Linked DNA regions of Lonchura striata. The protein of the gene in region 2 interacts with the protein of the main gene of each other region in a biochemical or structural test. Links are inferred from orthologs where the notes say so. Each region holds a gene or a part of one and is shown on either strand. Other genes may lie near its edges.

Region 1 (7,185 bases), on a different chromosome or scaffold from region 2:
CCAGTGCTGTATCCTTCCTGAGGAGAGTCAAAACCAAAGTAAGACAGGAAAAGCAGGATGAAACTGGAACACAATCCCTCACTAGAGCATCCCCTGTTTTGGGAGGCAGAACAAGCCCCCAGAAGTGCTTTGCTGAGGTCCTGGTGTAGATTCTGCTCTATTTAAATGACTTTTTTTTGGGATGAACTTTACCGAACACACATGCAGCCTCCACAGCACCATGAATTTGGGGCTGACATTTAATGCCTCGGCACATTTCTTTCCTTGTCCCGTGCAAGGCAATCAAGTATGTCAGGTTAAGAGAAGAGAAAAAGAGGAAAAATAATTACACAGTAAATTAAACAAGGCTAACTCCCTCCCACTTATTATGGCTTCATAAGTTGCTACCTCTGGCTCAAGCTCTCTTGAATACGTACCAAGGGTAACACTAAAAATAGGTCCTGTACTGATGGTTGGGTCACAGCCTGCTAGAGGGAGACATTTTTATTTAATTACAAGCCCAGCAGCGTGTTGCTGGGGGGGAATACATAAACACGCCACTCGAAGCCCGGCTGTAAAGTTTGTGCTCCTTCGCTGAGTCACTGTGGCTAAATTCCCCTTTGTGTGGGGGATTTAGGGGAGGAATGCGGGAAGGCTGGCCCGGGCTGCCGCCCTCCTGAGTCACCGCTCAGCTCATCCTCCAGCCCCGGCAGGCTCAGGGCCCTAAGCCACTAATTAGCCTCATTGTCTTAGGGCTGCAGCATCCATAACCTAGCACAGGGAGGGGGGGGACGGAGGGACAAAGCTCCTGGAAACCCATGAGCTGTATCTCCTGGCAGTTGTGTTCTGTGCGTCACAGCCCACCTCTCAACACTCCCCGAGGGATCCTGATCCACTCCTTCCGTGGGATGGCATGGATTCCGTGATGCCTAAATGCGAGTGCAGCTGTAACCTGGAGCAGTTCTTCTGAGCAGGGAGGGTTCTGGGGCGCGGGGTGCAGCAGCCGGTGACACCATGGTCCTCGTCACTGCTGCCACGTGCTCGAGCGTGGCCGGGCAGCATCCCACATCCAGCAGGGCCGGGAGGCTGGCAGTGTTTCTGCAGTGTGACACGTGTCTGCTCAGCTCTGTCCGAACTACCAGGTTGTGCGGGTCTCCTTTCCCACAGCAGCAAGCAGCCCTGCGCAGCTCCCTCGGGCTGGCTACCGCCGAGCTCCAAAAATAACTTACCTTGGGACCAACTGCAAGGTGGATAACCCGTATCCCACCACCCCGATCAGTTGCGTCCTTGCGTGACTCTCAGGTTGCCCTTGTGCAGCACACATGGGCACAATGAGGGGTCTGTTCCCAGCCCCTCCGCTCCTGGGCTGCCACAACGCGCACGGCTCCGGTGTCTGCGCTCGGACAGAGCCTGGTGCTCATCACTGGGGTTCAGAGGAAGCTTAATGCACCATGGCTGCACGCTGAGCAGCTTTCCTGGGGCTTCCGCCCTCCCCCTTGCAAACAGCTTTGTGTGTTTAGGCTTTTTTTTAAATGAAGTCTAACACATTTAATCATCTTTTCATAAGCTGTCAGCTTGCCGCGCACCAAAGCAGAGCAGCGCGCTCTGTCCCGGCTCCCAGCAAAGCAAAAGTGCCTGGAGAATCCTGCTCCTGGGAGCGTGCACACACACAGCTCAGGAGCTGTGAACTTTTCTCAGGGTCTGGGGTGAGATCAAAAATCAGTTTTTGGAAGTTATTTTGAAACAGATCTTATTTTGTACAGCATCTTTACTCCAGTGTTTCATAATTCAGCTCTGCACCATCAGCGCTGGAAAACTCAGTATACTAGAAAACTCCAAATACATCAAAAGCAAAACACAACTAGTCCTAGGAAAACATGGGAATGTGCCTGTCCCCCACCCTGAAGGTTCTCGGCAGGAGCAGGGAGAACAGGGGGCAGCTCAGTCCAGGGGCAGAGCTGGGGTGGGCACAGCTGAAGTCAGGGCCTAGCAAGCTGGGGAAGTCAGAGCCGTGTCCTTGCGTGCCTGTCTGGGGTGGAATGGGAGATTATGTGTCTAACAGCACTGGAGGAGTGTGTGTGATGGGAAAGGGCGTTTGCACAGAGTGGGAGAAGCTGTTGTTTTGGGCATGATGGAGAGGAGCTGCTCCTCTTCCCTTTCCATTCATACAGGGTGGGTGATGCTGGGGCACCTTCTGGCTGAAGTTGTCTCCCAGAATGTTTTTTGTGGACTAAGCATCCTGAACAAGGAATTTCCTTTCTTACTGTAATTGTGGAGACTGCTCAGTTTTACTCTCCTCTCCACACACTAGCTGCCTCTTGGAGAAGCATCCCAAGGCTGCCCTTGCCACTATCCCTCAAAATACGGGCTGCACATTGCCCAGTCCTTGTCTCCCCACAGACCTGGTGCTGCTGGCCAGGGTATTTCCCCGGGAGAAGCAAACATTCGTGTCTCCCTGTCCAAGTAACTGATAGGTCTGAGGGATCTGAATAGATCCCAGATTTTCCTGGGAAGGATGTCCATGCTTCACCTGGTTCTCACACAGAAGGCCCTTCCTGAGGAACCACCGACTCAGGTTTAATGCTGGAGGTTAATAATAATCACACCAGGCAGCACATCATTGCACCGTATCTGGTTGAGAGATTTACAAGTGAAACTCGTGGCGGAGGAAGAAATTGCCTCAATCACTCGGAGTAATGGCACATGGAGAGGCACTTGGGCGTGACTGCTACTTAACACGGAGCCCAGCTTGGCTTCATTTAGCTGCTGGTGCCTTTCTAATAAACACGTTACACTACAAGGTGGGGATTAAGATCAGAAAAGTAAATAAATTGGAAACTGATGGGGAGAGATGGGAGGGAAATGGAAGGTACTGAGGAGGAGTGACGAGGGATTGACTCCCATGCCAGCACATGGGGAAATGACCCTGAAGGCCATGGCTGTAGCTTTCCAAGCATCTCTGTGGGCCTCACCTGTGGCCTGCAGGTGCTGGGCAGCCCCAGTGCCAGGGCATGTTGGGTGTCCCTGCTCAGGGTCACCAAGCTGGTCTTCAGCAAACAGCAGCTGTGGCAAGTTGGTGTCTTAAACAATTCAGTAGCTTTTACTATATGTATTAGAGAAGCAAGAAAAAGTGCAATGCACCAGTTGACAGGAAGGACTGGGGGTTAATTTTCAGGATGCTGCCTGGGAATTTAGCCGTGGGATTTCCATTATTGCTAATGGGACTCATGCAGCTTAATTTCATGTGAGCTATACTAAAAACATACCCGTAACTGCCTGCAAAATTTCAGTCCTGAAATCAAGCCTTTTAAAAGTTAGAGAAGGGTAAACAAACACCTGAAACCACAGTGTCTCACCATTTCCTCCTCTCAGCTGTTTGGATTTTAAAGTCTGGAAGAGGGAGGAACTCAAGCAGTTTGAGACAATTAAAAACCCCCATCCAGCAGGCACGCTGGCTGCCTGTGCGGCACATCCCTGCTCTCTGCCAATTACAGCAGCAGAGTTATAACCCCCGAAAAAATAGGAGTAAGCTGATGCCTTACCCTTAACTATAGTACGGCGAGCACGGCGTTATCACACGCGTCTAATAACCCGCGCAGCGCCGCCGTGCATCGTGAGGCCTCCGTTATTAGGCTGTTCTCGTTAAATGACTGCTATCATCTGGTCCCAAAGTACATTAAATCCCATTATAATTATAAACACACTTCCCCATAACGTTCTCCTTAGATTACATTTGCGCTGCTTTACCCCAAGGGTATCTTTGTACTAATGCCGTCCGTGTTTGTTGTTTTAGCTGAAGACACCGGCCCTGCGCTGGCTGTGTCGGTCCACGGGCGCAGCAGAGAGGGAGGGAAGAAGGCAGAGCCGTGCGGCTGCCACCCTGCCCCTCCCGAGGATTGCACAGGGTGCGCCGGGCGCGGGCACGCCAAGGAGCTGAGGCACTCCTCGGATGCTCGGGGCACGCAGTGCTCCCTCCGCGCGTGGCCCGCTGCTCCTGCCGCCGCCTGGTGCTGCTGTCGGTGTCACGGTGTGGCTGGCGTCTCACCGCGCGTTTCGCTCCCTTCCCGAAGGGGACAGAGCCCCACGGCCCGTCCTGGGGTGCGGGCACCCGCCACATCCCTACACACAAGTGGCGCCGTCACGGCGTCAGTATTTTACCGGGGGGGCAGGGGGGAAAGGAGGACAAACCGGCTTCGTCGAGGCGACAACGTGCTCGGTGTCACATCATGTCACGAGCACCGCAGCTCCCGGTCGGAATCCGGACCCCAAACCGGGCTCCGAGGTTGGTTTTCACCGTCTCCAGCCCGGGGCCGGGTCCGCCCGGCGCGGGGGCGGCTTTGTCTGGCGGGGGCGCCGCCCGTCGGGGCGCGCAGCCCCGCTCGCGGCGGGCCCGGGGCAGCCGCGCCGCGGCCCGGGGCCGCTCCGCGGGGCCGCTCCCGGTGCCGCCGGGCTTCCGGGTGCCGGGCTCGCCGCCGCCTCCGGCTCCTCCATGTTTGTTGTCGGCAGCGCTGTCCAGCCGCCGCCGCCGCCCGCAAGGTGCGGGGCGCGCGGGGCGGGCCCGGGCGGGGGCGCCCGCACTCAGCGCGGCGGGCGGGGGCGGCCGCCGGTCGGTGGGTGGGTGGGGGCGGCCTGACGCGGGCGCGGGGCGGCCCGGGGGCCGGCGCCGCCGTGATTTGCTGCGCGGCGCGGCGAGCGGCGGCGGCGGCGATGAGAGCGGGCAGTGCGAACTGCCGGAGCAGCCGCCGGCCGCCGTGAGTGCGGGCGGGGGGCGGCACCGGGGCCCCCCGCGTCCCCCGCCCCGGGACCGCCGTGTGCCCGCGGCTCCGCCGCTTCGCCGCGCACCTGATGGGGCCGCGCTGCCGGCGGGACGGGGCGGCCGGAGCTGGAGCCGGGCGGCGGCGGGGGATGCGCACCTTCCTCTCCCTTCCTTCCCTCGCCTTCCCCGGCCGGCGGTAGCGGGAACGCGGCTCCGGCAGCTGCGGATCCGCCGAGCAGCGCGGAAACTTTTGGGCGAGTCGCTGCTAGGCTGCGGGCTAACTTCCCTCTTCTCCCCGCTCCCTTCTCCCCGCTCCCTTCTACTCCCTGCTCCCTTCTCCTCTCCTTTCTCTCCCCGGCTTTCCTCTCTCCCCCATCTTTTTTCTCTTTCTTCCCCTTTTCTCTCTCCTTCGTCTCTTCCCTCCCCGCTCCCCCTTTCCCGCTCCCCTCTGCTCCTCTCCCCCTCCGCCTTTTGTTTTCTGCAGATAGTCGGCACACAAAGCTGGTCCCAGATTTGAGCGACGGCGAGACACCCTGATGTGTGAGCCTGGGGCGCGCCATGGATCTGACTAAGATGGGGCTGATACAGCTGCAGAACCCCTGCCACCCCACCGGGCTGCTGCACAAAGCCAACCAGATGCGCCTGGCGGGGACGCTGTGCGACGTGGTCATCATGGTGGACAGCCAGGAGTTCCACGCGCACCGGACCGTGCTGGCCTGCACCAGCAAGATGTTCGAGATCCTCTTCCACCGCAACAGCCAGCACTACACCCTGGACTTCCTCTCGCCAAAGACGTTCCAGCAGATCCTGGAGTACGCGTACACTGCCACCCTACAAGCCAAGGTTGAGGACCTGGATGACCTGCTCTATGCTGCCGAGATCCTGGAAATTGAGTACCTGGAGGAGCAGTGCCTGAAGATCCTGGAGACTATACAGGCCTCCGAGGACAATGACACCGAGGTCGCTATGGCTGATGGAGGTGCCACCGCCACCACTGAGGAGGAGGAGGAGAAGAAGTCAAGGTACATCAAGGGCCTCTTCATCTCCAAGCCCACTGGTGAGGAGGGTGGCTATGCTGGCATGGCCAGCCAGAATCTGCTGGCAGCCACAGTGGAGCAGAGCCCCTCTGCCTCCGCATCCTACTGCTCCCTCTCTTCCATGAGCCCCACCAAGGCGGCGGTGGACAGCTTGATGACCATCGGGCAGTCACTGCTGCAGGGAGCCCTGCCACCCAATGCCCCCGAGGACTCACGCTCTGCCACCACCCGCCGTCCCTCTGGCCTCGCCGAAGTCAAAACTGAAGCAATGCAGGTGGATGAGGCCTCCAGCCATGACAGCCCCCGGACAGCCGAGCCCGGTGCCTCCAGTGGGGAAAAGGCTGACGAGAAGGGCAAGGAAGGACCTGGCACCCCGACCCGCAGCAGTGTCATCACCAGTGCCCGTGAACTGCACTACACCCGTGAGGAGGGTGCCGAGCCACCCCCTGAGCCTGGCCAGGGGCTGCCACTGGGGCCGGAGCCGTCTGCCGCTGCCCCGGGAGAGAAGCCCTTGGGCATCTACTCCCTTCTGCCGAACCACAAGACTGAGCCGGTGCTCGGCGTGCCGCCCACTGCGGCGTCCGCCCTGCATGTGCAGCCGGCCCTGGCTGTCTCCATGGACTTCAGCGCCTATGGCGGGCTGCTGCCCCAGGGCTTCATCCAGCGGGAGCTGTTCAGCAAGCTGGGGGAGCTGGCAGCCGGCATGAAGACGGAGAGCAGAGCCCTGGGTGAGCAGTGCAGCGTGTGTGGGGCAGAGCTGCCGGACAACGAGACCCTCGAGCAGCACAGGTGAGTGCCGAGGCCGTGCTGTGGCATGCTGCACCGGGCAGCCAGGATCTCGCCAAAGGGTTTCGGTTTCTGGCTGAGTGTCACATGCGTTGGTGCAAAGTTTCCATCAGGTACCCCAAAACCAGCTTGTGGAGTAGCATTCTAAGAGGGATAGCTGTTGGCAGCTTCCCCGAATCTGGTTACCGTGCCAGAAGGTTCCTTCCAGTGAGTGCTGGCTGGGAACAGCCCGGATGAGCTGGGGCCGTCGGTGTTTCCTGCGAGCATAAACACCACCAGTTTCCCTGGCTGGCATCAACCAAGTAGCTCACAGTTGCTACCCTTTGAGTTGGGGGATCTGCGTGTAGAGAGAAGCAGTGGGGACAGGCAGCGCTCGCCCGCTCTGCTGAGATCTGGTCCCCCCTGTGCCAGTGCCGGGGCACGCCAGCGCGGGCAGTGGTGTCAACATGTGTTGACTTGCCAGCCTGGGGGGTTTTGTGCCGCTCAGCTTCCCGGTTTATGAAACATTTACACTTCGCAGAAAGTGGCGCGGGGGTCAGGCTGGGTAACGCCGGGGCGAGCGCAGAGGGCTCGGGCTGCCGCAGAGCCGCGGGTCTGTCCCTGCGGGAAAGGTGAAGGGCTGAACCT
Region 2 (7,319 bases):
CTCCGGGGTTTGGCTCTCCCGGGGGGGATTTGGGGGTACTCCTGCAGCCCCCCGAGCGTGCCAGCCCCAGCCGGGGGTCTCCGGGGGGTGTTGGGGTGCAGTGGGGGGCGGCAGCACCCAGCCCTGGAGGGGGCAGCGCTTGGGGGGCTCAAAAACCCCCCCGGAGGTGCCAACCCGGCACTTTGGGTGCCACAGCCCACCCTGTGGGACCCCCACCCTGCGGGATTCCCACCCTGCGGGGACCACCCGGGACGGGGATGTTTAACCCCTCGCTGCCCAGGACCCCCAAACAGAGAGGTGCCCGTGGGCACAACAGGGGTAACCCCACGGAATGGGGGCACGGGAGAGGCCGGGGGTCTGCAGTGGGGGGGGGGGGGGGGGGGGAGCACCCCCAGGGCTGGAGCAGCTCCCCTTGCACACCTGTCCTTGCACACCTGTCCTTGCACACCTGAATCCACTCGCATCCAGCCGCTCCCCCTGCACACTCATGGGGGATGTCACCGGGTTTGGGGTGCTGTCACCGGGTTTTGGGGTGGTCTCACTGTTTTGGGGGGCACGGGGGGCCGCCCCCCACTCACCTGGGGCGGGCAGGGGGACACGGGGCAGCAGCTCCAGCGGGGGCTCACGGCCAGACCCCCCCTCTGCAGAGAGACACCCGTGACCCCCTGAATAGGCTGGGAGCGGGGGGCCACGCGCGCCCCCAGACCCAACCTCAGCTCCCCAAATCCCTCCTCGGCGGCTGGGGGGGGTCAAGGAGCATCCCTGGGTTTTGGGGTGACGGGAGCAAACGCAGCCCCCCCGCTCCAGGCAGGGCAGGGCAGAGGGACCCCCCCACCCAGGGGCCCCCCCACCCACGCCCCCCCCCAGGCTATTCTCTCCGGCGCCTGGAAATAGCCGCGCACGGGAGGAGCCGGCTAAAAATAGGGAATTGTGCCGGGAGGGGGGCAAACAGATCCCGGAGGGGATGCGCTGTGTCCCCCCCAGACCCAGCTGCACCCCCAAACTGCCCCGGGGCCGGGGGGCACGGGCTGCCCTGGCTGAGGAGGCTGCGGGGGGCTAGGGTCCCCACGCCCCCCCCCCAGCTCCGTCCCACCCCCCGCATCCCCCTAATTGCCGGGGACGCTAATCCGCCTCAGCGCTGCCGAGCCAGACCTGCGATGTCCGGAGTGGGGGGGGGATTAGCCCCATTTTTGGGAACGTGAGGGCAGGAGACCCCCCCACCCCACTGCAGACCCCCCGAGCCCCCCCAGGAGGGGCTGGGGGCGCAGCCGCCAGCTCAGCACATTTCCCGTGGGATCCGTGTCCCCACGTGGCCCTGCAGGGACACGGGGGGGGTGACACCGTGCCGAGCGTGGAATCCCCCCTTTTTGGGGACGGGGGCATCCCCCCGGTTACGGGGAGCCCCCCCGCCACCCCGGCCGTGCGTAACCCCCCCCCCGGGGCAGCGCCACGTTTATTTACCAGGCGTTAATCCCGAGCCAAGACTTTTAATAGCCGGGATATTTCTGGGACACCCCGTGCCCCCCCCGGGGTGCTCTGGGGCTTGACGTCAGCCCGGCTATTTCTGGTGCTGCCAGCGGGCAGGAGGCCGCGGGAACGGGCCCGCCCGGCTCCGGACCCCTCAATGCTGCCCGGACCCCCTCAATGCTGCCCGGACCCCCAGTCCGACCCCCAGACTCCTTCCCGGCCCCCAGGGCAGGGCAGGGGCTGCCCGGGCCCGCGGAGCCCCTCCGGAGCTGGTGGCACTCCTGGGGGACAGCGGGACCCGCAGGGATGTTGGGGGACCAGTGGGGACCCCCAGGAATTCCGGGAGGGAAGGAGGGGAGCGAGGGATGGGAGCGGCACCCACGGGACCCCCGGCTCTGGGATGGGGCCGGGAAAAGGAGCCCTGGGGGTCCCAGAGCCCCCGGGGGCTGACCGGGGACCCCCGGGGGCTGATTTGGGATCCCCCAGTGGGTGATTTGGGGTCCCCCAGTGGGTGATTTGGGACCCCCGGGGGCTGGTTTGGGACCCCCGGGGGCTGATTTGGGACCCCCGGGGACACGGGCCGCCTCCGCCACATCCCCGACAGCCCCAGCCCGGCCGAGACCTCCCACCTCAGCACCCCCGAGGGGGTCCCCCAAGGCCCGCAGGCAGCCCCGGAGCCGGGAGGGGACCCCAAGGAGCGCCCCGGGGTTGGCGGAGGCGGCCCGGCCGTGTCCCGGTGCCACCGCGCCGCGTGCCAGCCCCGTGCCAGGCACGGCCGGGCGGCGCTCCAGCCCCGCGGCCGCTCCAAAAATACCGCCTGGGGGGGCTGGGGACAGAGGGGACACACGCCCCCCGCCCCGGCGAGCCCCCGCAGCGGGGCACGGGGCGCTGCCGCCGCCCGGGCCTCAGTTTCCCCGCAGAGGCGCGGTGCCGGTGCTGCCGCGTGGCCCCTCGGGGCGGGGGGGGGACACGCGAGCGCGTCCAGATGTCGCCGGAGTTCCCACCGGGATAATTACAGGGCGGCTCCGCCGGGGAGCCAGCGGGAGCCGGGACAGCGCGGGAACGGCCCCGGGGGTCACCGCGGCTGTCCCCACGCGTGGCACGGCGGGGACCCGCCCCCGGCGGCATAAAGAGCCACGCGTGAGCCGGGCCACGGCGGGGCCGGGAGCCGTGCCTCAGTTTCCCCTCCCAGCGGGAGGATGCCGGGGTCTGGGAGCACCGGGGTGGGGGGGCGGCGGCACGGGCTGGGATAACCGGGGTGGGGGGCGGCTGGCACGGCCCCGGGGCCCCCCGGTGCTCCCCGGCTGGCGCGGATGCGCCCCGCCGCTGCGACCCCCGGTACCCAACCTGGGGGTCCCGCGGGGGCTGCAGGGCCGGGGGACGCGCCGGGGACACGGCGCAGTCCGGCCGAGCCCCTCGGGCCGCAGTCCCCGGCTCTCACCTGCGTCGCTCGGGGGGTCCATGGTGGCCCGGGGGGGCTCGCAGAGGCGCGGGTCCGTCAGCGCCGGCCGGGGCACCGGGGCTGTGCCCGCGCCGCCAGGGAGCCCTGCGGGACCAAGCGCGGGTCAGCACCGCGGGACCCCCGGAACCTCCCCCGCTGCAAACGGGGGGGCGAGCCCGCACCGAGCCCCCCCGAGCACCCATGCGGGGCAGGATGGGGGGGCTGGGGCACCCCCAAAGGGACCTGGGGGTCGGCAGCGCCACACCCCCAGGCTCCGCAGGGAAAGGGAGGGCCCGCAGGGGGACCCCCGGCCGTGCCACCCCCAGGGACACGGGTGGGACCCCCATAAGGAGGGGGGACACAGGCTGACCCCCCGAGAAGGGGTCCCCGCAGAGAGAGGGGTCTGGGGGCGCCACCCACGAGGGCCCCGCGGCGGGACGGTCCCCGCGGGGGGGGGGGACACGCCGCTCGCGGTGCCGGCAGCGCCGAGCCCGGCGCGGTGCGGCGGGGCCCCCCCGGCCCCCCCGGCCGCGCTGCGGAGCCGCCGCCGTGCTGGCACGCGGACCCCCGACACTGCGGGAACCCCGGACCCGCGGGGACCCCCCCCGGGCACGGTGCACAGCCCACCGCACCGGGACCCCGACCCGCACCGACCCCCCCGCACCGCGCCGGGACCCCCGAAGGTGCCGGGCTGCCCCGGACCGCAGGGCCCCCCCATTGCACGGGCGCTGCCCCCCGAGCCGCACCGGGACCCCCGGACTGCACAGGACCCCCACCCGCAGCGGGGGTGCAGCCCCGCACCGGATCGCGCCGGGACCGCCGCTGCAGCCCCCCCAAAGCACACGGGGACCCCCGGGCCGCCCCGGACCCGCACAGGGCTCCCCCCGCTGCACCCCCCGAAAACCCGCACCGGGCCCCCCCGCTCCGCACGGCGCACGGCCCCTCACCGCGCGCCCCCCCAAGCGCACCGCGACCCCGCACCGGACCGCACCGGACCCCGGGATCGCAGCCCCCCCCCACCGCCGCGCGGAGCCCCCCCGGAGGCGCGCGGGGGTCCCGGACAGCGCGGGTCCCGGCGGGCCGCGGAGCCGCGGTGCCGGTGCCCCCGGCCCGCCGCCGCCGTACCTGGGGTCCCCCCGGTGCCGCCCGGCGCGCGCCCCGCCGCCCCCCCGCCGCCGCCTCCATCTTCGCCGCGCGGCCCCGCCCGCCCCGACAACAACATTCGGTGACGTCACTCCGCGTCACGTGACGGCGCCCGCCGCTAAAAATAGCCCCGCGCGCGGGCCCCCCCCCAACCCGGTAAAGGGGCGTGGCCGAGCCGGGGGGGCGGGGCCTAACGGGGCCTTAAAGGGGCCGCGCAGCGAGTGAGGGCCAGGCGGTGTCAGTGGGGAATGGTGTGTGACCGACACAGGGGTGTGAGTGTGTAAGAGCACACAGGCGTGCGAGTGCAGGACACACGCACAGACACACGCGTGTGCCCCTGCCGGCCGCGGCACCTGCTCGTGCCTTGCCCACGCGCGTGGGTGTAGCAGGCCCAGGTTGGGGGGGTCACTCAGCCTGTGCGGGGATGAATCACGCCGGGCCGAGGCCGCGCTGAGTCACCGGCGGCGCCGCGGGGCCCGGCCGGTGACGCGGGGGCACACGCGTGTGCACATGTGACACGCGCGGGGAACGGGGGTGCGTGGCCCTTTAAGGGGCGCGCCCGCCGCCAGGGGGCGCCCGGCGCCGCGGGGGAAGCTCCGCCCCTTCCCCGGGGCCGCGGGTTCGAGCCCCGGCCCCGCCGCTTCCGCCTCCGGGGCCGGGCCGGGGGTCGCGGCGCTGCCATGGTAACGGGCCCGGCGCGGATTTGGGGTGCCCTGGGGGGATTTGGGGTCCGCCGAGGCAGCCCTGCGGGCCCCGGCCCGTGCGGGGTGCCCCCGGCGCGGTGTGAGGCCCCGCCGCCGCCCGGTGCTCCCGCACGAACCACGGAGACCCCCGGGCCCCCAGCTCGCGTGTCCCTCCCAGCCCCATTCTTCCCTTTTTCCCACAGTCCTGCCACTTCCAGAGGCTCTTTGGGACCGACGGGGAGCTGGAGGACGAGGTGAGGGCCCCCCGACATCCTGGGGCTGCCCCGGGGCGCCCGGGCCCGAGGCATCCCCGCTGCTCCTTTCCCCGCAGGATTTCCTCTCCGCTGTGCAAGATGCAGAGAACCAGTTTGTGATCCCCGGACATTCCTCGCCCAGCGCCGTGCCGGTTCTTCCCAGTGAACCCCAAACCAGAAAACCCCATCCCAGTGAACCCCATCCCAGTGAACCCCAACCCAGCGGACCCCAAACCAGAAAACCCCATCCCAGTGAACCCCAACCCAGCGGACCCCAAACCAGAAAACCCCATCCCAGTGAACCCCATCCCAGTGAACCCCATCCCAGTGAACCCCAACCCAGCGGACCCCAAACCAGAAAACCCCATCCCAGTGAACCCCAACCCAGCGGACCCCAACCCAGTGAACCCCAAACCAGAAAACCCCATCCCAGTGAACCCCATCCCAGTGAACCCCAAATCAGGGAACCCCAAACAAGCGGACCCCAACCCAGCAGACCCCAACCCAGCGGACCCCAAACCAGCGAACCCCAACCCAGCGGACCCCAACCCAGCGGACCCCAACCCAGCAGACCCCCCAGCCTGCGGCCCCTCGCCCAGCAGCCCGTGGGCCTGCGGGTTCCCCCGTGGCGGGGAGCAGCGCCCCAGGACGAGCAGGACAATGCCCTTTTCCTGGCTGCCTGCAGGGAGCTCGAGGGGCCCGGCGCTGCCCCGCTGCCCCCCGGGCGCCGCGAGAAGCCGCCCTGGAAGGGCGCAGGGAAGGAGAACGCTCAGGAATGTGGGGTCCCCAAAAAGCTCAGGCTGGCACAGGAGCTGGTCCCCGGCTCCGGGGGGCTGCAGGAGGGGCAGGGCCCCCTCCCCAGTCCCAGACCGGTGCTGCGGCCCAGCGCGGCCGGCGCCCCCAGACCCCCCCCTTCCCTGGGAGAGCCAAGAGGGTCCGCAGGCTCCGTCCCTGCTCCGGGGGCTCCGTGCCTGAGGCCTGGCCAAGCGCCCCCGGGAAGGAGCAGCTCCTCGGTGCCCTGGACCCCCCCAGCACAGAGCTGCCCCCAGCCCCGGCTGCCCCCCAGACCCCCCTCGGGCCCCCCCAGCTCCGTGGAGTCCCCCGGCTTCCCGAACCCCCCCGTGGCCCCCAACGCCCCCGGCCCCCCGAGCGTCCCCGTGGTCACCAACCACCTGGTGCAGCTGGTGGCAGCGGCCAGCAAAGCCCCCCCGGGAGCCCCCCGAGCCCCCGGCCGCAGGGAGAGCCGGCGCTTCCCGGGGCCCGCCGGGATCCTGCCCCAGCAGGTGGGCTGGGATGGGGAGGGGAGGCTGGACAGGGGTGAGAGAGGGCCTGGGTGGGGATGGGGACAGCATGGGAAAGGATGGGATGGGGATGGGGATGGGGATGAGGTCAGGAGTGCAATGGGTGTGGGCAGAACGGGAATGGGAGTGGGCTATGGGATGGGATGGGATGGGATGGGATGGGATGGGATGGGATGGGATGGGATGGGATGGGATGGGATGGGATGGGATGGGATGGGATGGGATGGGATGGGATGGGAGCAGCTGGTGCAGCCAGGCAGATCCCTGGACGTCTCTCCCTCTCCCACAAGCACTCTGGGAAGCTGCTGGAGGAGATCCTGGTGGCTGCTCCCCAGGCTCCGGCTCACGGGGCCGTGGCGAAGCCACGGGCTCAGGTAACCCCCCACACGGGCTCAGGTAACCCCCCCATCCCAGCCCTGCCCCGGCAGATCCCGGGGGATCGGCCCCGGTGCTCCTGACCCTGCGTGTCCCTGCCCCAGGCGCTGCCCAGCTCCCCGCTGCCCACGGAGGAGGATTTCGGGAAGGGGCCCTGGCTGGCCATGAAGACGGAGCTGGGGCTGGATGAGAGGGACCCCAGCTGCTTCCTCCACAGCTACAGCGTGGTCATGGTGCTCCGCAAGGTGAGGATTCAGCCCCAGCTCTTCCCTCAGCCCCCGGAGCTGCTTGTGGGGCTGGGGGTCTCTGGGGAAGGGGCTGAGCTGAGCACAGACATCCACATCCCCCGGGTGATGAGGGTGTAAGATCCAGCAACATCCCACGGGAAGGATCCTGGGGTTCAACTGCCCAAGGTTATCCCAAAATCCCCGTTGTGCTGTGCAGGCAGCCCTGAAGCAGCTCCCGAAAAACAAAGTTCCCAGCATGGCCGTGATGATCAAGTCCCTGACCAGGAGCAGCGCTGGTGCCGGTGCCGTGTTCCGGGACCCCACAGGTGAGTGGGGGTTACCTGTGCCCGGGGGTCCCCGTGCCCGGGGGTTACCTGTGTACCTGTGCCCGGGGTCCCTGTGCCCAGGGGGGCTCAGGGATGCCACCC
Region 3 (6,913 bases), on a different chromosome or scaffold from region 2:
TGGATTTTTATTTTTATGGATCTTTATTTTTATGGATCTCTCCTAAAGCTGGGGAAGTTCTGCCTCACACGTGGAATTATCACAATCCTCCACTTCAAAAAGCCATTTCAGATTTCAGGACAACAATTCCCAAGTATTTTTATTGGGTTGATTTCAAAAACCTCAGAGAAATTCCAATGTATTTTGAGTTTATTTCAATAACCTCAGAGAAACGTTTCAGCATCAGCTGAACTCGTCCGTGGGCAAGAGCTTTGTGAATTTGATTTTGCATTTTATTTCTTAACTGGCCTGAAAGTCCCAAGAGGCTGCTCACAAATAAAAGCAAAGCAGGTAGACAATTTGAAGGCTATTTTTAAAATAAATTCATTTATCAAATGCATTTTTAAGCAGAGGAGTGAGCACCACCCTCCCTGCTGATTTTCAGTCATAATTTCAATATTCTCACTCTCTCCCCTGCCACTTTTCTGTGGTGTCATTCATTCAGAAAGGAACTGAGGGGAGATATTATCGAGGCAATTGCAAATTTAACTCCTTGAGCTCCATCTCTACCTGCTACATCGATATTTTAAACCAGTTTTATCTTTTAAATTGAAACCCTTTTGTTTTTAAAATATTTTAAAGGCCAGCTTCTTGTGCATAGAATTAATTTAAGGTTGAACTGGTCTTAACTGGGATATTCATTTTTGTTTAGCTGAACTAAGAGGGGGAAAAAGGGGGAAGAAAAGGGTGGAAAAAAGGGGGGAGAAAAAAAGGGGAAATAAAAGGGGGGAAATAAAAAGGGGGAAATAAAAGGGGGGAAAAAAAAGCAGGGAAAAAGGTGGGGGGGGAAAAGGGGGGGAAAAAAGGGGGGGGAAAAGGGGGAAAAAAGCGGGGGGAAAGGGGGAAAAAAGGGGGAAAAAAGGGGGAAAAAAGGGGGAAAAAAGGGGGAAAAGGGAGAAAAAAAGCGGGGAAAAAGTGGGGGAAAAAGGGGGGGAAGAGGGGGGGAAAGGGGGGAAAAAAGGGGGGAAAAGGGGAAAAAGGGGAAAAAGGGGAAAAAAGGGGGAAAAGGGGAAAAAAGGGGGAAAAAAGGGGGAAAAAAGGAGGAAAAAAGGGGAAAAAGGGAGAAAAAGGGGAAAAAAGGGGGGGAAAAAGGGGGAAAGAAGGGGGAAAAAAGGAGGAAAAAAGGGGGAAAAAAGGGGAAAAGCCCCTCTAAGCCTACCTGGTAGAGTTTTATGATGTGTGGGTGGTCGAGCATCTTCATTATCTGCACCTCCCTGTAGATCTTCTCCAGGTTCACAGCATCCAGCTGAGATTTGTCGATGATTTTTATTGCCACCTGCAGAGCAAGAGGGAAAAATGAGGTTTAAAAACTCCCCCAAGGTGAGCTGACCCTCATTGAAAAGGGAATAATGCAGCCCCGGGTACCTGGAGGCTGCAAATCCCTGAGTGGAAAATAGAGCAGGGCAGCACTGAAAGTGGCTGGGGTCCCTCGGAGGGGCTGCAGGGCTCCCACCCACACCAGCATGTGAGGAAAAGCAGGTTTTCCATGAGCAAAAGTAGGTTTTCTATGAGTATAAGTTGTTTTTCTATGAGAAAAAGCAGGTTTTCCATGAGAAAAATCAGGTTTTCTATGAGAAAAAGCAGGTTTCTCATGAGTAAAAGTAGGTTTTCCATGAGTAAAAATAGGTTTTCCATGAGTAAAAGTAGTTTTTCTATGAGAAAAAGCAGGTTTTCCATGAGAAAAATTAGGTTTTCTATGAGAAAAAGCAGGTTTTCCGTGAGTAAAAGTACGTTTTCAATGAGTAAAAGCAGGTTTTTCATGAGTAAAAGCAAGTTTTCCATGAGTAAAAGTAGGATCTCCATGACTAAACAGGTTTTCCATGAGTAAAAGTAGGTTTTCTATGAGAAAAAGCAGGTTTTCCATGAGTTAAAAGTAGGTTTTCTATGAGTAAAAGCAGGTTTTCCTTGAGTAAAAGCAGGTTTTTCGTGAGTAAAAGTAGGTTTTCAATGAGAAAAAGCAGATTTTCCTTGAGTAAAAGCAGGTTTTTCGTGAGTAAAAGTAGGTTTTCTAGGAGTAAAAGTTGTTTTTCTATGAGAAAAAGCAGGTTTTCCATAGAATGGAAGGCACAGGACAGGTGAGGGAGGTCAGTGCTCCAGGTGTTCTTCAATCAGGAATTTGCAGTGAGCAACATCTCCCCAAAAATCTCCGTGGTGCCCATTTCAGGAGTCAAGGTGACAAATCAGAGTCCCACAAAAGGATATTTTATATGAAAAACTTAAAATTCTTGTGTTGGCTCCACACAAACAGTCCAAACCTAGGGGCTCCAGGCACTTGCAGCTGTGGCATATTTAATTAATTCGTATGTTATTATGAAAGGGTATCTGCAGTTCATCCCTTCAGAGATAAAAACTCTGCAGATGAATTTACCAGTCAAACCTTGCAAACACATCTCAATTAATTCACAAAACACATCCTGGCCCTGCTGACCTTGTTTTTTAGCCAATAAATGAAAAGGGAAGATCACTCGAGATGCTGAGGGGAACTAAAAAGCTCCAACAGAAGACATTTAAAATTGAAACCAAGAAGAAAGTGAAAATACAACCCCTGCAAAGGGTAAAAATGTTAAAGAGTGTTGAATATACAAATGGTGCTTGCTCACCCTGAATGTCACTTTATTAATGCTGAAGCAGGAGCAAACAGTGCAAGTCCCACTAATAATTCCAATTATAGCAGAATTATTATATACAAACCATATATACAAACTATTGAACATGGGAGAGCTGCTGCACAGGAAATCCATGGGAGGTGAACCTCATTATCTGCTCCAACACTGATTATGGGCCCTCCTGAGTTCACAATTAACTATTTATTGACTTCAGCTCACTCTGGTTTTCCCTCTTTAAAAGTCCCCAGTCTTTCCCCAACTCCCAGGAAAATGCACAACTTCCAGTGTGCATGAAATATGTCCATAAAATATATATATATATATACCACAGGAGAGCAGCAGCTCCTCCACTCAAATGCAGATTTAATACCTCAGCTCGCTCTGCATCTTCATCTTGCCAGGAGCAGGGAAGATTTTACAGAAGAACCACTTGAAAATACTTAAAATCCAGCAAAATCTTCCCAAGGATGTGAGCAGGAACAGGGAATTCAGCAGCTCCTTTTTGTCCATGAGCTCAGCTGTCTCTTGATGACAGGAAAAGGGATGTAATTCTTAGAGGTGGAGAAGCTCCTTCAAGCCACGGAGCAGTTTCCTATCTGAAAAGTGTGTTTTGTTCCTAAACATGCAGCTTGCCAAAAACTACTGGCAACAGCTCGAAATAAACAACAAAAAAACCCCAAATTTCAATATATAATGTCAGCACATCTTTCACCTGAGAAGGAAAGCCAAAAAATCCCTGATCTCTGCCTGTCACCAGATTTTGCTGCTTAAGGAGTTACATTCCAAGATATTTTTGCAGCTTTTGTGGTTTTTAAAATACAAAAACCATTTTAAAATACAAGGAACTGCACTTATTTCCTTCCCTCTTCCACTGGAGGCCCAGGGAATTGGAGTTTGCTCAATCCTGCCCTGACATCTGGGAATTGCAACTGCCAAGGAGGGAGGATGAAATGCTTGTCAAGAAAAGATGAAAGTTCTGCTGCTGCTGCTCCTCAGCTACTCCAAATGTCAGTTTTCATTGTTTTTGTTTCGTTCCTTTAATTCTTGAAAGGGAAAACAAAGGCAAAAAAGCAAAAAAAACCAAAACCACAACACAACCTCCCGCTACAAGTTCACATTCAAACAGAGCTTTGTCCCTGCAGGTTACAGAAATTCGGATTTGTTAACCCAGTGCATTCTTAAAATAGATAAAATGCATTAAAACTAACAACCACAACTTCCTGCAGTCTGGAAAAACTCCGTGTTTTGTTGCGCAGCGCAGGGAGCTGCTGACTCTGCTGGAGTTACTCACTTTGCAAATACCTGAGCTCACCCGAACTGCTGCCACAGATCAAATCAGGGGCTGCAGGGTCATTTTTCTTTTTTCTTTTTTTTTTTTTTTTTTTTTTTTTTTTTTTTCTCAAAGAAAAATAGAAATTCGCTGTAACAGCAGCCAGGTGGAAGCACATCTGGGAGGCACAGGGAGAGCCAGGTTTTGTTTTCCCCTAGGGAGCAGCGAGCAGAGTTCCTCTGCAGGGGATTAATCCTTAGGGGGGGTTAATTAAGGCTTTTAGGGGTGTGTTCCCAAATTCCTGCTTTTTCCAAGCAGCACCTTCACCTACTCCAAACCTTTCCCCTATTCCCTACATTCCAAACCTTTCCCTTATTCCACTCCCATCCCATTTCAGTGGAAGCAAATCTCCATCTCCTCCAACTTTGACGCCACCAATTATTCCCCTTCCCTCCTCTCCGTCCTCCCCAGGAAAATCTCGGCTCATTTCCACGCCTCATTAGCAGGAGCTGCCCTGGGATCACAGGATTTCTGGGCAGCAGCATCAAGAAAGGAGCGTGGCAGCAAAAAAGCCACGTGCCCTCCACTCAAATGGCACCAAAAACCCCAAAAAAGACAAGCAAAGGTCGGGTTCAGCCCCCCTGGGTGGACTGGCAGTAAAAAGGGTCAGGCAGCACCTCTATTCCTGCATATCCTTATTTAATTTATTTATTCCTGACATCTTTATCACCTGATAAATTTATTAATCCCCCCATTTTTCCCAACTTTCACGCTTCTGTGCGGTTGTTCAGAACTTGCATGAATTCAAATTTTGATTTCTGATTTCGTTTGCACACACCCTGTGCTGCTCTCCTGCTTCGTGTTTTCATTTCATTCCCACCTCTGCTAACAATTTATGGCAACAATTTTATCTCCTCACCTGCAGTCTTTCCATAAAAAGGATGGATTTTACACAATCCATAAGTGCTGCATTCAAGGTAATTAGAGCCCATCTTTTTTAATTGGATGGTTATTGGCTAGAGTTGCATTAAAAAATAAAAAGGCAAATATTTCAAAGGTCAAAATCATATCAAACACAATTTCAAAATGCCAGCGCTGGAAAAGCCCAACAACAAACAGGTTCTGAATGTAAAGGGTTGAAATCAGGAGATTCAGGAGAAACTTTGACAAGGAGTCCTTTTAAAACAGGTTTTTTGAGCAAGTCTCAGCAGCATCACAGCATCCTCCTGTAGCACAGACCTGAGGGTGCACCAGAACCTAAAAACTGAATATTCTTCCACTGGAACTTAAGCAACAGTTTAGAAGAAGTTTGAAATATGAAAACCCTTCAGTCTGGAGTCATTAACAAGCAGGATTTCCACTCTGTGTGCTCAGGGGTCCAACAATCAGGTGAGCTGCTCCAAGCTGGAAGTGCTTATTCCAAAGAGTATTTGGCTGGAATTTATTTCCTCTGACATCACCAGAAGTGATCTTAACAGGGTTCCCCTTCCTCAAAGATTGTGTAAATACTTCCAGCAACCAACTCAGCAATTCAGTTCCAGAAAAACACTCCTGCATCTCTCCCTGCAGAAGTCAGAGCTGACTCAAAAAATCAAAGACCTTGACAAAAAGTCCTCCAACACGGGCAAATTTGCTGTAAAAATCCCCCAGAAGATAAAAAGGCTGCAGGCTGGACAGAAAAGCTGGTTAAAAAATATTTGAAGACTAAGAGAATTCAGCAGTTCCTTAGGACACAGATGAAAGAAGCATCCAGGAATCGGGGAGCTTTTAAGCTCTGTGCTTTCTGCAACCTTTGTTATTTCGAACAATGCTAAACAAACAGGCTTTCTAAAAGGACAATAAAAACCAAGATTAAAGTTTTCATCTCCACCACAAAGCCTGCCAAAAAGAAATGAGGGCTGCAGAGCAATGACAAGCGAGTATCTTCAAGTGGAGCATTTGCAATTCTGGCCCATGGCACCAAACTTGGGAAGGGGAAGGCTGGCGCTGCTTGGCTCTTCAGCAGGAGCGAGGAAGGGCTCAGGAAGAACCGAGTTTAGGATGAACTTGAGAAATGAGGCAAAAGGAGAAGTTTCTGCCAGTCCCTGCCACGCAGAGCTCAGCCCTGTTAGCACCCGGGGTTTGCTGTCCTCAGCTGGGCTGCAGCTTTCAGGGCATGCTGCCATTCCTGAAGGGATGATTTTAGGATTTTAGGATTTTCCCCTCCGAGCCCACGGTGGTGAATACCTGCAGGCCTTGGGACAGCGTTTGAGTGACTTTGGCCAGGGACAGAGCAGCCAGGAACCTCTTCTTCAGTCAACAATGAAAGCCACCAGAAGAGAGCCTTACAAAAAGCTCACCTCTAGGTGTAGCAACTAAAACTACCTAAAACAAGGCAGAAGAGGAAGCTGATCCTTCAGAGCCATTACTCTCATCAAATACCTCCTTTTTCTTTTTTCTTTTTTTTTTTTTTTTAAAGTGAACACGACTACATTTTTACCCAGGCAGACCGACAATCATTTTTGTTTTAGGTAAAGCGCCAGGTATTAATAATAATCACCGGGTAATACACGGGGGCGGTTGAACAAAAGAGGCTAAAAATGGTTGGATTTGGTGAACTTGGAGGATGCCGTGAAGAATTCAGCACACACACACACACACACACACACTGCTGAAACAGATAACCCAGCATTGCCCAGGTCAGGAAACCCGAAAATACCCGGGGCACGGCGGCAGGCACAGCACAAGGTTTGACCCTTCCCAGGGAGCAGAAAGTGCTGCTGGAGCAGCACCGGAGCATCCTCGCGGTGCCATCCCGGCAGCGATGCCACCACCCCGGGGCTGATGCCACCACCCTGGGGGTGACATCCTGGGGGTGTCATCTTTCGGGTGGCATCCTTAGCGGGGGCGGGAGGGGGAGGTCGGGGGGTGTGACATCCCGCGGGTGACATCCTCGGGCATCCCCCCGCGGCCCCGGGGGCGTTCCGCCCTTCCCGGGAGGATGCGAGCGGGGGAACCC

What was found. The genes of interacting proteins can lie anywhere in the genome.
Region 1: the proteins of HDAC5 (region 2) and ZBTB16 form a complex in vitro, tested with the Homo sapiens proteins (2 studies listed by BioGRID). The link is inferred for Lonchura striata from reciprocal best matches to the Homo sapiens genes HDAC5 and ZBTB16.
Region 3: of the proteins of HDAC5 (region 2) and SIK2, one has a biochemical effect on the other in vitro, tested with the Homo sapiens proteins (2 studies listed by BioGRID). The link is inferred for Lonchura striata from reciprocal best matches to the Homo sapiens genes HDAC5 and SIK2.

Annotation. Positions count from the first base shown.
Region 1 is NC_134625.1:10,775,825-10,783,009, forward strand, and holds the start of ZBTB16 (zinc finger and BTB domain-containing protein 16), read left to right. Parts: upstream 1-4,181; 5' UTR 4,182-4,261; intron 4,262-4,617; exon of another isoform or gene 4,618-4,730; intron 4,731-5,219; exon of another isoform or gene 5,220-5,223; 5' UTR 5,224-5,293; coding exon 5,294-6,561; intron 6,562-7,185. UniProt on the Homo sapiens protein: Acts as a transcriptional repressor. Transcriptional repression may be mediated through recruitment of histone deacetylases to target promoters. May play a role in myeloid maturation and in the development and/or maintenance of other differentiated tissues.
Region 2 is NC_134627.1:8,659,408-8,666,726, forward strand, and holds the start of HDAC5 (histone deacetylase 5), read right to left. Parts: upstream 3,010-7,319; 5' UTR 2,931-3,009; coding exon 2,909-2,930; intron 642-2,908; coding exon 579-641; intron 1-578. Other genes in the region: HROB (homologous recombination OB-fold protein), read left to right, coding at 4,732-4,734, 4,938-4,988, 5,066-6,271, 6,580-6,663, 6,769-6,909, 7,109-7,217. UniProt on the Homo sapiens protein: Responsible for the deacetylation of lysine residues on the N-terminal part of the core histones (H2A, H2B, H3 and H4).
Region 3 is NC_134625.1:9,393,735-9,400,647, reverse strand, and holds the start of SIK2 (serine/threonine-protein kinase SIK2), read right to left. Parts: upstream 3,005-6,913; 5' UTR 1,843-3,004; coding exon 1,405-1,842; intron 1,316-1,404; coding exon 1,199-1,315; intron 1-1,198. UniProt on the Homo sapiens protein: Serine/threonine-protein kinase that plays a role in many biological processes such as fatty acid oxidation, autophagy, immune response or glucose metabolism.